Linked DNA regions of Neodiprion lecontei. The protein of the gene in region 1 purifies or fractionates together with the protein of each later gene. This does not show direct contact. Links are inferred from orthologs where the notes say so. Each region holds a gene or a part of one and is shown on either strand. Other genes may lie near its edges.

What was found.
Region 2: the proteins of ribonuclease P protein subunit p30 (region 1) and ribonuclease P protein subunit p29 purify together in Homo sapiens (affinity purification with mass spectrometry; 4 studies listed by BioGRID and IntAct, counting the BioPlex papers as one, with this or other methods). This does not show direct contact. The link is inferred for Neodiprion lecontei from reciprocal best matches to the Homo sapiens genes RPP30 and POP4.
Region 3: the proteins of ribonuclease P protein subunit p30 (region 1) and ribonuclease P protein subunit p40 purify together in Homo sapiens (affinity purification with mass spectrometry; 3 studies listed by BioGRID and IntAct, counting the BioPlex papers as one, with this or other methods). This does not show direct contact. The link is inferred for Neodiprion lecontei from reciprocal best matches to the Homo sapiens genes RPP30 and RPP40.

What each region holds. Positions count from the first base shown.
Region 1 is NC_060261.1:32,863,989-32,868,012, reverse strand, and holds ribonuclease P protein subunit p30, read right to left. Parts: upstream 2,227-4,024; 5' UTR 2,063-2,226; coding exon 1,969-2,062; coding exon of another isoform or gene 1,965-1,968; intron 1,853-1,964; coding exon 1,635-1,852; intron 1,502-1,634; coding exon 1,433-1,501; intron 1,340-1,432; coding exon 1,139-1,339; intron 1,066-1,138; coding exon 998-1,065; intron 861-997; coding exon 781-860; intron 713-780; coding exon 564-712; 3' UTR 548-563; downstream 1-547. UniProt on the Homo sapiens protein: Component of ribonuclease P, a ribonucleoprotein complex that generates mature tRNA molecules by cleaving their 5'-ends. Also a component of the MRP ribonuclease complex, which cleaves pre-rRNA sequences.
Region 2 is NC_060262.1:35,015,063-35,020,450, reverse strand, and holds ribonuclease P protein subunit p29, read left to right. Parts: upstream 1-1,902; 5' UTR 1,903-2,103; coding exon 2,104-2,155; exon of another isoform or gene 2,156-2,299; coding exon of another isoform or gene 2,300-2,306; intron 2,307-2,395; coding exon 2,396-2,535; intron 2,536-2,606; coding exon 2,607-2,997; intron 2,998-3,291; coding exon 3,292-3,428; 3' UTR 3,429-4,861; downstream 4,862-5,388. Other genes in the region: required for meiotic nuclear division protein 1 homolog, read left to right, coding at 259-478, 616-973, 1,167-1,361. UniProt on the Homo sapiens protein: Component of ribonuclease P, a ribonucleoprotein complex that generates mature tRNA molecules by cleaving their 5'-ends.
Region 3 is NC_060261.1:34,620,710-34,625,395, forward strand, and holds the start of ribonuclease P protein subunit p40, read left to right. Parts: upstream 1-1,659; 5' UTR 1,660-3,563; coding exon 3,564-3,683; intron 3,684-3,805; coding exon 3,806-3,950; intron 3,951-4,363; coding exon 4,364-4,528; exon of another isoform or gene 4,529-4,614; coding exon of another isoform or gene 4,615-4,686. Other genes in the region: uncharacterized protein LOC107219723, read left to right, coding at 1-80; uncharacterized protein LOC107219755, read left to right, coding at 4,615-4,686. UniProt on the Homo sapiens protein: Component of ribonuclease P, a ribonucleoprotein complex that generates mature tRNA molecules by cleaving their 5'-ends. Also a component of the MRP ribonuclease complex, which cleaves pre-rRNA sequences.

The DNA.
Region 1 (4,024 bases):
AGCAAAGGGAATATGTCCGCTGTGTCCTATTTCAAAGACTGAAGTTGAAAGGTGTTCAAAAGGAGAATAGTCTGTAAATAATTTGCTTCCGATAGCAATTAAAAATCTATAAACTTACAGTAAAAGTTTACTTTTGCTCATTTTCATTTCCTCTTTGCATCATTCTGTTTAGAAACAGTTCGAGTCTGTGTTCGTCTGTGGAATGTATAATATGCTATCTGTTCAATATTGTTTTTATTATTATCCCTATAAAGTACATTAAATACGAAGATTTTTCCAACAATATGTAAAACTGTGGATAATTGCGTTAAGAAAATTTTCGTTGATATGTTAATGCTAAATTAAGATTAAATTTAATTTAATCATAACAGATCTTAGATATAGCTACCAGATGTAAAATACCAATGGATAAGTGTGTAAATTATTTCCCCCGCTAGTAATAACAAAAAATAAGTACATATTATTGAAATACCAGTTATGTAACAAATCTTTATCTTTTAAAATATAGTCTACTCAAATCGTATGGATCAATTTTATTTTTCACAAATTACTCTCCCGACTGATCACAGTTTTATTTTTTTTGCTTCGGTACAAGTGTCACCATGTTCATCGTCTGTTTCCTCCGCTTCTATTTCCATTTCCGATTCCATCTCTCTTTTTTCGGTGCTACATGTTTGTATTCGAAAAACTGCTTTTCCATAGCGTCTTCCTTCTAAACTCAGTGTAAAAATATGTCATTATTGTTATTAAAAAATTTCTATCATAATTATATCGACCCACCTGCTCTCAAAATGACATATCGACTCTGTGAGAGGATTGAAGCTTTAGCTTTTGTCTCATTCATTCCCAGAATAGAAGCTCTAGCATAAAAATGACTAAGGAATATAACAGATGTAGAATCAGCACTCAATAATTTTCAAACCACCAAACTTCAGAAATTGGCTACTGTAATACCCAGTTGAATTCAAATATACTTGATAAATTCTTCAAAGGATACAAATTTATTATATCATAAGGACTCCTAATTTGGGTTTCAATTGAAGCTCCGCTACTGATGAAGATGTTCTGAAAGAATAACCATGATGCAGAAAAATTTTGACAAGCAGGTGCCGATCCATTTATAGAAAGAAAAAATTACTTTGCTTTTGCCAAACATGTGGAACAGATGGGAGTAATGTATAGCAAACTTTCTGCTCGCACTACTAATAACATCGCAGTACTGAATTTCAAAATTAATTCCTCTCTCTACAGCTTGTAAATATAACTTCCTGCTCAACTTTAGCCCAACACAATTTCTGTTTAATAATACGATGTCTGTATTGAGTTGGGAGCAAGCAAACTGGAAAAAAGAAAAGAAGTATCAAGAAAATCATAAATTAATCCGCAGTACCAAACTTATATAGTAGTCATCGTGCAAATCTTACCAACGTACCTGAAATGCTGCTTGTGTTTTAGGTACAACAGCGTATAAGTCATACTTTCTCAGACTCGATGATTGATTCTGAAAATATTGAACAAATTTAAATACTTGAATTCAAAAAAATAAATTAAATTTAAAATACCTATTCTCAGTGCCTTAGAATTGCTGAGATTATATCGGATCAACTTTTTACAGACTTTTATAACGTGTTTACCAGCGTATGGGTTCTTGTGGGATCTCCGAACACGAACGTAAGACGATTTAAAATACGAAGCTTTCCAGCATATTCTGAAATTAGATCAGCGATGTCTGGAGGACTCGGGACAGTAACTCCCAGAGCTTCATTGTCACCGGCCTTTTTCTTGTTTTTCTTTTCAGATTCGAAAACTGTCTCTTCTATTGTTCGGTTGATTGCTACTGTTGAATAACCCACTGGTGAGAATTGAAGAAAAACATTACGATATGTCATAGTTGTAGATTCTGATTGATCTTCATTTGTTTTCTATTTACATCAAATGAAATGAGAATTTTTGTTCATACGTACATACTTTCATATAATTTATCCAGCACTTTATGTAATGTATTTTTATTTACAATTTCTGCATTTATGCATAGGTCGCAAAACCCGAAAGCAGTCTCCATTTCAGTGAATAATTACATTCACCAAACGTGGTAATAAAATATACACAATAGTATTGAACAGCTGAACCACAAACAACGTATAGAGTAACGAAGGTATACTACGTTTAACGAGAGAACCAAAGTAGAGGATCACACGTGCACAGACCACTGGATCTCTATTATAACTAAAGATCAGTGGCACAGACTTTTTCGCAACGCCATCTGGTGACTCTGAGAAAAACTAATCGATAATAATCGGTATGTTACACCGGTTACGCGGCTCGAATCTTCGACTGCGGGGACTGGTCGGAGGTGGTTGAGTACTTATAAGAGTTCTATTTGTGCACGGTTGAACGTCGTTTCGTGTATGCATCGTTATTAGTTTGTTATTTTAATATGTCAAACAATGCCACGTTCCGTTGTGAACAATTCTGATGAAGATCACAAAGCCAAAAACGGTAAGCCGCAGTTCAAACTTTTGTGTGAATATCATTTTTATCACAACCGCCAATTGTCTGACGACCGTTACGATTTCAAATATGTCTGAGCGATAACATTGCCATTCTTTAATCTCCCTCGCATTTTTTTGCCTCGTGAACGGTCCGTACCACGTTTTCGTACATGTGGAATCGCGTATCGGTGCAAACATAATTGGAATAATTTTAATCGAATCATAGATCTTCCTCAACCTAATTTTGCTGCTCTATGTACACGGTGACCTAGCATCAAGTGACCAAACTGATAGGGGTTATATAGGCGGTTGAACTGAGTAAATTAAACGAAAGAACATGTGACCTACGAAGTCGCGTTCGCGAGATACGACCGGTTAAAAGAGATCTCGCTAAGCGCTGGCATATAGGCAACCGAGTATACATCAAGCCGCGGATAGCGATCCTTGTCGACATTCGCTCGAAATTCAATAGTTATGCAATTCAATCGCCAGATTAAAATTTTTTATTGATTCACGGGATTGTTTATGGGGTATAAGCAAATATTGCTTTGCTCATTTTACACGTATTATTATGTAGGAATCGACGACAATTAAATTTAGTCGTTAAATTTGTAATGAAGCGACATTGGAATGTCGTTGAAAGTTTGTTTGGGAGTAGAAGCAAGTCTAATCATAATGGACAAAGATATTTCAGAATTATTTACCACTTCTATGATATTGGAAAAAATTATTTAAAAAAATGTATACATGTCTGAAGTTGTATCCAGCTGTCTAGGTCATGACATGTTGTCACCTGGCAACAACAATAGCTGGATTAGAGTTACTTTTCGATTATGAACAAAAAAAAATGGGTTCTATGGATGACAGATCTTGGAAGTATATATAGTGATAAACAAAGTTGTCGTAACATCATTAGAGAAAATTGTACTTTTGTATTATTATACATATACAGGTACAATGTAGTTTAGTAACGTTCAAAGCTTTCACATGGTACCTGTAATCACTTACATGGTTTTGGAGATCAGTTTCTAGATACCGGCCAAGCGAGGACCTAAAGGTGAAAATATTTGTTTAGATCTAATCTCACGAATGTATTGAACGACATTGAATGTTATGTTTACGAGTGCCATAAATATTTGGAATGTTTGTTCCGATTTTCTGTTCTATTCGTTTTTTTATAAACTTTTTCAGAAACTAGCTTTTCTTTCCATAAGACTTGTTCGTTTTTTTTTCTTCAGTAACGTCATTATTTTCGGTGCCAACCTTACTCATTTCGAAGAGTATACGATTTTTTCACAATAACACTACGCGACGTTACCAAACTCTGAAAAACCTAATAGACTATCCAGGCACGCAACGCAACCGAATTTTGACTGGCTGCGTAACGTCGTTAAGCCTTGATGAAAAACAAATCATAAAGTCTCATAAGAATTTGTTGAGAAAACTATGTGTATCTGTCACTAAAATTTCTCATAAATATTGGTAGCCGTTTACTCAAACTCAACTCATAGAGTATTATGAGAACCTATCAG
Region 2 (5,388 bases), on another chromosome or scaffold:
TACATGGGCATTCGAAATTCCAAATTGATCGGTATGGGCTTTTCGGAACTATACCAAAACAGGGTGCTGAACCAAAAAATGAAGTAAAATTCACAATGTCACATTTACCTAGTCTTTTTACACATGTTATTTATATCGCAAAAGCAGAAGAATAATAAAAGAATTGCAACAGAGCATTATCTATGAAGAGGAAAAAGCCACTAAACCATAGACTGCTAGTAATCGTTCAATATATGTTTTTTTGTTATTACATTCCAGCAATGCCAGATGTGATTCACGCAGTAGCTAAATATGAGGTAGAAACAGAGCCCCGTGAAGTCTACTTTTTCCGAGAAGGAACTGTTGTTTTTTGGAATATGTCAGAACTTGAAAGTGGAAATTTACTGAGATTCTTGAAATCCTATGAACAACATAGTTATGCTGATAAACTGGTGCAGTCAGAGAGTGAACTAATGCTGTACACGCATTTAGAATCTAGGTAAGATATCAGAATGGTTGAAGTGTTTTTGATTGCGCCGATCTTTATTCCAATTTGTATTGCCGATTGATATAAGTCCTAATTAACGGATGCTCAATGTATGTACCTGACAACCTGATTTTTGGTATACGTTACAGTAAAAAGAGCCATTTGAAAGAAGGAAATATCATGTTGGCACCAAATGCCACAGACTTGGATAAATACACATTCTCAAATGCAATTGCACTCTCTGTCAAACTTGGCATATGGGAAGCATCACTAGACCGTTATGTGGATTCAATTGCTTTTGTTACTGATGATCTGAAATCTGGTCGTCCAATAAAAATGAGCAGAGAAGAAGTTCTGCGAAAGCAAGGCGAATTATTTGCGCTCAGGCATATGATCAACTTGAGTTCCGACCTTTTAGATACCCCAGATTTTTACTGGGAAAGAGATGAATTGGAAAATTTATTCCAACAAACGTGTAGTTATTTCAGTATTGCCAAACGTACTCGGGTATGTGAAATTATAGTAATACACAATATGTCAATCAATTTAATTTCGTACTAGCGAAATATAAAACTGCTTAAACATTTCTCCATTGTTAACGAATTCGAATTGAAATCTTAGATTACCTTTGTATTATAAATTCAATTATGGATCTGACCAATATTTTATATAGAATAATATACATGATTTCTGTCCACAGGTGATGAATGAGAAACTGAATCATTGCGTTGAACTTGTAGAACTTTTGTCATCCCATCTTAGCGATCGTCATCACGTTCGTTTAGAATGGATGATAATTGTATTAATTATGGTTGAGGTAGTATTTGAAATACTACATTACATCGATCGTTATTTTGCCGATCAACCCCAAACATCTGAAGTGTTGACCTCCTAGTTACACTCTAATATCAATTAAAATATCTATGTATATATATATATATATATATATCATTTTCAGCGAGTAATTTCTACAATAGCAGGTTATAAATACTGTAAATATATAGATAATTTGCGTTTATAAAGTATAAATAGTTACTTATTTGTTATTTGCCACATATGTTGTCTTTACAATAATAAGAGAAACAAATGTATAAGGAATTGAAAACTGTTGTAATGATGATTAGATTTATTTTAGTTATCAGGCTCATGCATTATAGGGGCATTGCCTAATTTTAATTTTGAGAACTTTCGTATTGACTTTTCAATGCTGTGTAACATGTGTTATCTGTTACACAAAATAAAAACAAAGTAGAAAAATAAAATTCTCTACCCTAAATACATTTTTTGATAGAAATAGCTGCAGATTCCAAGAATATGAATATTTTTCGAAAAGAATTTTTAAGGCGACTCGATGTTTCAAATTTTCAAATCGAGATGAATCGAAAACGTAAACATGTGTCGCTGCATGTCAGATCCAAAGGTCAGATCGACCTAGGTATATGAAGCTAGCCTGTGAACTTCGAATTTCTTAAAAATTTTCACGAAATTCCTATGTTGCAGGCCAACTTTACTTTCCTGCCTTTCTTATAAATTGTCATAAACTACACCATGTTATAAACCATAAACGTCAATTACTCGTCAACTTACCATGTGCGTGCGATGTGCACGTGACAGCTGCGTTTGATTCGTGATTGCTTATGCTAACTAGAACTCAAGTGGGACCTTATGATCTGTCATTTCTGTTCTTTGGTAGGCATTCGTGATTCAAGTTTTGATCACACATTATTTATTTCGATTTTATATCGTAGGAATTAGAGAGAGTTTATAGGGAGGGGAAACACAGTGAGTTTAGGTTAGATTGCAGCAAGAATCTTCGGAAAATTTATTGAAACCATGTCGGGTAAGATGCCTTTGTTGAACGTTTTAATTAGCTGCAATACAGAATTGTTCATATTCAGATTCAACTATCCGTAATTTGTATTCTTCCAGACAACGTGTGTCTTCAACTTCCAGTGTCAGTGGTTAACCGTGCAACAACATCGACGGATCGCAGTGAATATCTTTTAAATCTTTTAGAAAATATCTTACCACCCTCAGATACTAAATCAGTTAATGAAGAATTGAAAAAGGTAATAAGAATAAAAATTTTACTTCCTTTGTTCCATTCATCAGTCATCTTTTAACATTTTTCACTTTTCAGACATTCACTTTCAACAAATACAGAACAAAGCATGTTCGCCGTAAACCAAAGAAGGTAACATTTTTAACAGCCAGAAAAAGATCAGAACTTGGCTTAAATAAATTGGATAACAGGATTAACTTGAAATACGTTGATGCATTAGCATTGAACCAGCTGTGGCTAGAATACATGCGACAAATGCTTGGTGTTAACAATTTCACTGATTTACCGCAAGGACCAGTCGAACCAAATTGGGACAACATTGGTCAACAATTGCTAAAGGCTGACTTCCATGGAGCAAAAATTGTTGTCATTAGATCTAAATGCCCAAGTTTGGTAGGCATTCATGGCATTGTATTGCAAGACACTAAATGTACCTTCAGAGTTATTGGAGAGGATAGTATTATCCGAAGTAAGACAACTCTGAATTTTAGCATTGAAATCTAATTCTATTGGAAACAAAACTTCTGATTTTTATTGAATAATTTATCAAGATTTGTGCCTAAAGTTACCATGCATACAAAATTTGCACAAGCCTACAAAAAAATGTTAAGACATCCTCATTAGTTACATGCACTTAAGTATATTATTCGATGAGAACGAAAAGGGATAAGAAAAGATATGCGATTAGCAGTATACAATGAAAGATTTTAAAGTTGCTTTCTGTAAACCATCATGAAAATATTAACGCTTTTTTTTCTTGTAGCAATTCCAAAAGACACAGCTGTATTCAAGATATGTTTGGGCAATGTGAATTTACAATTGTTTGGCAGAGAGTTGTGTGTCAGACCTGCTGAGAGATCAGTGAAAAAATTTAAAAGTGCTCGTGTACCTGATTTATAACATAATTACGATTATGAAAATACAAATATTGCTAAAATTTTCTTGAGTACTTTTAATGACTTATCAAATATCACAAATGAGGCTTTCCCATAGTCAAGAGATACGTGCATAAAATTGTATCTTTAACAAGTACGTTGTGCATTTTAATTTTTAATTTTTTTATAATTTTTATAAAAAATGTTTAGTGACGAATATCATTTGTTACTGGTTAATTAATATGGGAATGTGTATGATAAGAAAATGAAAATATGTTCGTCAAACAGGCATTTGTTTATTTCTCACTGTGCATATCCACTTGACACAGTTGTTATATCTTACAGCAAAAACAATTGAATGCAATCCAGTTCTTCGATCATCCATTCTCGATAATTACCTTTTGTATCATTTATTCATTTTTTTTTTTTTCAATAATATTAATTCATATCATATTTTTGTCTACTACTTACATGTTACACTAAATACCAATATAATATATAATAATATAATTATATATTTATAATATATATGTATAATTACTAATAATCCTTGCTTTTTTGTTTGCTTTTTGCAATAATTAGTTATAATAGTATTTCAAAATATTCAAATAATCATGATATTATAATAACAATTTGCGATGCGGATTGGTTAAATCCTTATTCAAATAATAAATCACTAACCACTTCATTTCCAAAAATTTCATTCACGATCAATTTGATTTAGCTATGTTGAAAAGATAAGTGCAATGATGGAGTTTTGGGATTGTCGCGTACCTTTCGCACGCACCACCAGTTCCTAACGAATTCTTACAATTTATTTACCATAATTTAAAGGATCAGTAAACCAATTACACAGGCCTGAAGAATCAGAAACGCAACTAAGAATTCTACCCTAATCGATCCCTCACGAGAAATAATTAGTGTATTTGAGTTTAAAGCATCCCTCAACATGCAGTTAATAATTAATAACGATGCTCTTGTCATGAGATTTGGATTAATGTTCATATACCCACCGAATCAGACTCGTGTTACGTGTTCACTGTCCCATTCAATAATCAGGGGCAATCTACAATTATCACTGCGTTACGTTAAGGCGTATAACTTATTGAAACAATTTTTTTCCAAATAATCAACGTGTTAATCATGCCGTCAGTACACTTTTCAACGGATCAGTTAAACGTACACAGTATGCTGGCAAAAGATAGGTATTTTGCGACGTACCACTGTAAATATTTATTCAGCTACTATAGAACGGTAGCTTCCGAATTTAATTTAAATGACAAATCAGCCACTATTTCTATGAATCATCAATAAAATGTTAATTCAACATTTTTTTTACAGGTTAAATGATTGCTATTGAAGTGTGGTGGACAAATGCTATCGCAGTATTAACATCATTTAAAAATCAATTGATATTCTTGCTCCTGTCATCCATGCAATTCCGATTATTAAGGAAGACACTTTCCTTAAAAAATTTTAAGCCTATTGTATTCAGATCAACTGTTAGCACAGCGTAAACTGGAGCTTATTAAATAATTCGGAACGATTTTTAAATCGTGTCATTACTTCGGGCATATCATTTTTTTAATAGCCATGTAAAAAATTCTGCCATTAAACAACTGCGGATATGTCAAGGACATATAATTATAGCCCCCCTCAACGTTCTTGATTGCCCCGGTAAATTGTCAATTCGATACTATTGTTACTCAATTATGTAAAGCAGCCTAATGAACATACCATATACATATTATATACTTTATTTTTTCAATTATTCATAAATCCTCTAATTAATACTAATTTTTGTTGCGCCCACAAAATGCTTTTTTTTAGGAATAACTGTATTAATAATTATTTTTCATTTTTTTTTTTTTTTTTTTTTACATGAGACGTTTTTTGAGATTGAATAGTTGACAATTATTACAGCGGTAGATGATGTTTTATAGAATACATGTTTCTAGTTTTACTAGTTTATTAATTTTCTCCTT
Region 3 (4,686 bases), about 1.8 Mb from region 1:
CAAAGACTCCTGGAGCTCGAGCCAACGGCGACGTTGCCGAGGGGCATGACCCCCTAATTCAACGCGCACCTTTCCTCTGACGTCACAACCGTGTTACGTCACATTGTGTGCGGGGTTACGAACCTTCGATTAAACCAGTGAAACGCCTTTTCTTAGCCTAAAATATCCACAGTTGTGTGCGATATACGCAAGGCTTACGAAATGTGCAAACATGTGTATATACGCAGTATAAGGTGCGCGTATCCGTCACGCCGCTAATTACGCCGCTAAGGTGTATTATATTTGACAATTAATTAAGGTACGGTGTTTGACCGGGAAGAAATTGAGGTGTTGCATAACAAGAATGATAAATTAGAATGCGAGTTACCTATGAAACGTGAAAACAATCTGCATCCGAGAAATACTTTTCTTTTTTCACTCTTTGTCGGTATCCGATTACAGGAAACAAGATTTTCCATCAATATGAAGATCACCGAGAACAAAGCTACGATGTTAAATTTCTGTATCCCTCGAAATAATCTTTGTACAAAATCAAATTATTTCAGAGGGTTATTCAACTTCCGAGAAATAACTCTTCCGACTTAAGAGGTTTTGACGAGTGTACAGGTATACAACAATTTTCACAGTATTTATTTACTTGTTTGAGACAAATATTGACCCCCGTAAAATTAGTATCTCAAACCCTTGGTAGAACTTCTTCTCTACGGTCTGGGGAAAAAGAAAGACAGATTTCGAAACGAACTTTTTCAATCCTTTCCTTATTGTATAAAACGATTGCCTCATACTTTGGAAAGGAAAAAATTGCGTCCCGTATTTTTGAAGAAGAATCCTCACTTCGAATTCACAACTTTCGTATCAAATAATGAACTTTGGCAATACTTTAAACATACTCATATTATGACGGATATAATTATATTATAGAGATTCAATTTCATCGGGCTAATTGTGCCTGAATGAGAGAAAACGTTGTTCCTTCTCATAACAGTCATCGAGTAACATTCCGTAAAGCATATAACAATATAAAATAAGCAATTGTAACGAATAAATTTTGAGAATTGAAGTAGAATTTTAATTCGTGATACGCACGAGGATTGATTAACGAATTGACTTCCACGAACTTTTTATATTGCTAGTACTTCTCATCTAACAATTGTCCACATTCTTCGCTGACTTGTATCCCCCAACCCCGTTACTTTTATTCATTTCAGAGAGCTTATTATTTATTGCTCACACGTTACATACGAATCATTGTCCATATAATGCGCCAATAAACGTCAAGTCGGCAAAAATGTGGAAAATTGGATAAACACGCAACTTTGCGACTATACTTATATACTACCTCAATCGTGGGAAGTTGATTTACCCACGTGTATATCTATGTTTAAAAAACATGTCTGCTATCGCTGCAGGAGATATTATATTCCCGGAAATGCGTTCGTACTGTAGAAAAAAAAACCATCCGAATAAACTATGTAACAAAGACTAACGAGAAAATGAATAAGTGTGGAATGAAAGACGGAAACCAAAAAACTCGCTATAAGAACCCTGTGTAATAATAATATTAATGTAAGTGACGAGAATATTTTATTATGGTGTAAAATATACACTATACAATTGAAATGAAAATATTCCAATTTTATTTGTATATAGTGTAATATACGTACAAGTATTTACGTTACTTTATACGAGAATCAAATAGGTATTTTAGGCTGTGACGTGAGTAATGTATCGAGAATATATTAACACGAGTAAACTAATTAGAACATTAGAAGAATAAAATTATAGCTTTCTTTGCCGTATTTATATTCTTATTTATTAAATATACGAATAATGATGAAAAATCCAGTCGAATTTGAGTGACAGGATATTTGATTTTTGACGCAGGTACGCGAAAATACGCCATTTTGGTATTACGGGTTTCGCTCGAGATTCAATCAAAACAATTTCAATTCATCAACACGCGTTATAATTGGAGAATTTGTCGTGTATGCGTCAATCGGTTTGTACGTATTTTAAATATACTTGATTTGTACGGGTATTATTCCTAGGTATAGCATTTGATGTGTAAATTGCGCCGGTCGCAAGTGGGGTACATAAAAAAACAAAGAAAACTATATTGCAAATAATATGGTGTACTATTACTTATACATATAATTATGGGCATTGTTACGAAAACGTACACGTCTCTGCTAGTTTCGTAATAAAATGAGAAAATAATAAACGGTCGATTATTTGTTTCATAAGGACAAATAACTCATTATCTTATCTTCCTTGTTTCTTAAATCAGCTGTGTCGAATGAAGTTTCGACCGTGCGCAGTAACAATACAATGCAACAATATACGACCAGTCACATGTAATACTTTGGTAACCATAGAAATGGTTCCATTCTACGGACACATTGAAAAATAATCAACTGCCGATCAGCACAAATCGTATGAAAAACTCACTTACCAGTGCTTTGGCACCTCGTCAATTCCCTCTTCGAGTTGCCGATAATTGTCTTTCACATCGACGCGTGCAACGAATCATTTCACAAAATTGCAATAGAGCAAGCAAATCAGTTTTTTGAACATTAATCACACGTATATTTATTCGAAAAACAAGATGGATTCTGAGGAAACGAACATCCGAAATAACCGAACTAGAAATCGCGCCTGTTATACTCACGTGTTGATCGAAACAATGGAGAATTTATATTTGTACCAACGCGAGTAAATCCAATTCTACGATTAATTATTACAAGGCAGCCTGTCAGTATCTATAAATTATGTAAACCGCACTGATGCCGACACGTGTTAGTTTCTTTTGAAAAATTAATGAAACAAATGCACATCGGCGAGCTACAACGAATTCAGATCTAATTTAACAGTTGCGACCAACTTCATGGACAAGGTTGCAATATTACGAAATACCAGATTCATCAGACGATGGAAATCTATGTTGAATCAGGGAAAAATTCCGGTAAAACTAACCGAAACCGGTGACTGCTGATTGTGAAACTAACACACCGAGTCCTGCAAACGCGACGCGTTCTGACTTGTCAACTCTAGAATCTAGATGTTCGATGTCGCGTCAGCTGATGCTCCTTTGTTTGATATAAGGGAGCGCCGTTTCGACGCACGCGGCGGTTGTTGGAACTAACTTTGTAATAAGTTTCTAGGCTTCTGTCTAAAGGGTCTAAAGCCAGACTCGAAGAAATTTAATGCGTGGACTGTACTACATACATGCCTATGTATACCGTACGTATGCATATATCACTGATCTGTGGTACGTACGCATGAGCGCATATGCGACGGCCGTCACAATAAAGTTTAATTTAATACATAGAAAACAGCTGTTCGAAACGTAAGCGTACGAAGTTTATCTGAATTATTTTCCATCGTTCCCAATACGAGGATCGCTGTATTATGTCAATAACGAAATAAAATACAATACAAGACTAGGCGTAATACGCAATTGGATAGCTTTTCGGTGTTTCCTTGGTTCTTACCTTTCTGACTGACAATAACCGCAATGCCTGTTCGTACGACGCGGTGTACGCATTTTCATTAATAATCGGGAAATGCTGTGCCCAGAAGTGTGGGACTTTAAAGCCCCGCAGCACTACTTCAAGGTCGATCATTCGGATTGTTTAACAAAGAACGTGACGGGCGTGATTAGAAAACACTATTTCAACCACTCGGTAAGCGGTATAACGCGATCTCGCGATTATAAATTATAGGTTAGGTTGATTTTATTATGCTGCGCTGCGTAGCTGTAACGAGAGATTTACGTAATTTTAAATAATTCTTGGATTATTGCCAGGTATCTGTCGTCATTCCTGATACAGTTAATTTACCACCGCATTATTTCGAATCGTTCAACGAAGACAACGACTATTACAGAGTCAACAATTTATCAGCATCCGAACTGGTTGACAAAGAATTCATCGAGGCCTTTGTGAAAAACGGTAATTCAATATTTCCACCAATTTTTCATTATAATTTTAAAACACTTCGTTGCACTTTTTCTACTCTTGATTTCCCGCCGGTGAAACACTAATAGGATGGAAAATTTTCCGTGTTTCTTAACTTACAATCGATCTGCAAACGCCATTTTTAGCAAATTTTCAGAACCTTGTATGCATTTGTTTATCAGCAGGTAGTTAAAAAAAATAAACTGTCCGCCACGGAATTTTCATTTTTCCACTACTTCTTTTGACAGAAACAACTTTTTCTTTTCGCCATCAGGTTTAATTATACAGAATTATTTTCAATAGCATCTGTAGTAGATTACTTTGCATGTATGCAAAAATTATTTAACAGAGCTGCCTTTTTAACTGGCTACTTTTTGTAACTGAATATCATCTAAGAACAATTTCAGGTGAGGTCAGTGTGCTGGCAATAGAGAGTCACATCGACACCCAGAATTCACTCGCTGTAACTCCGTCTGGCCATTTGATACTTTCCTTGGTTAAAGAAGATTTCCAAACACTCGGTATCGAGGGAAAACCTTCGTTCTTCGACCGTAATATCAAAAATCGCTTTGGTGAGTTATTGGAAAGCTAAATAAAATCTCTAAATAATAAAGGATAAGTGACAAACGGAAAACTTAAGGGGTATCAGATTGACAAAATGCCAAAGAAACACCAAATAGCTTCGCTGGAAGAATTGGCCCTCAGGTCGGTTGGCCAATTCGTAACTGAT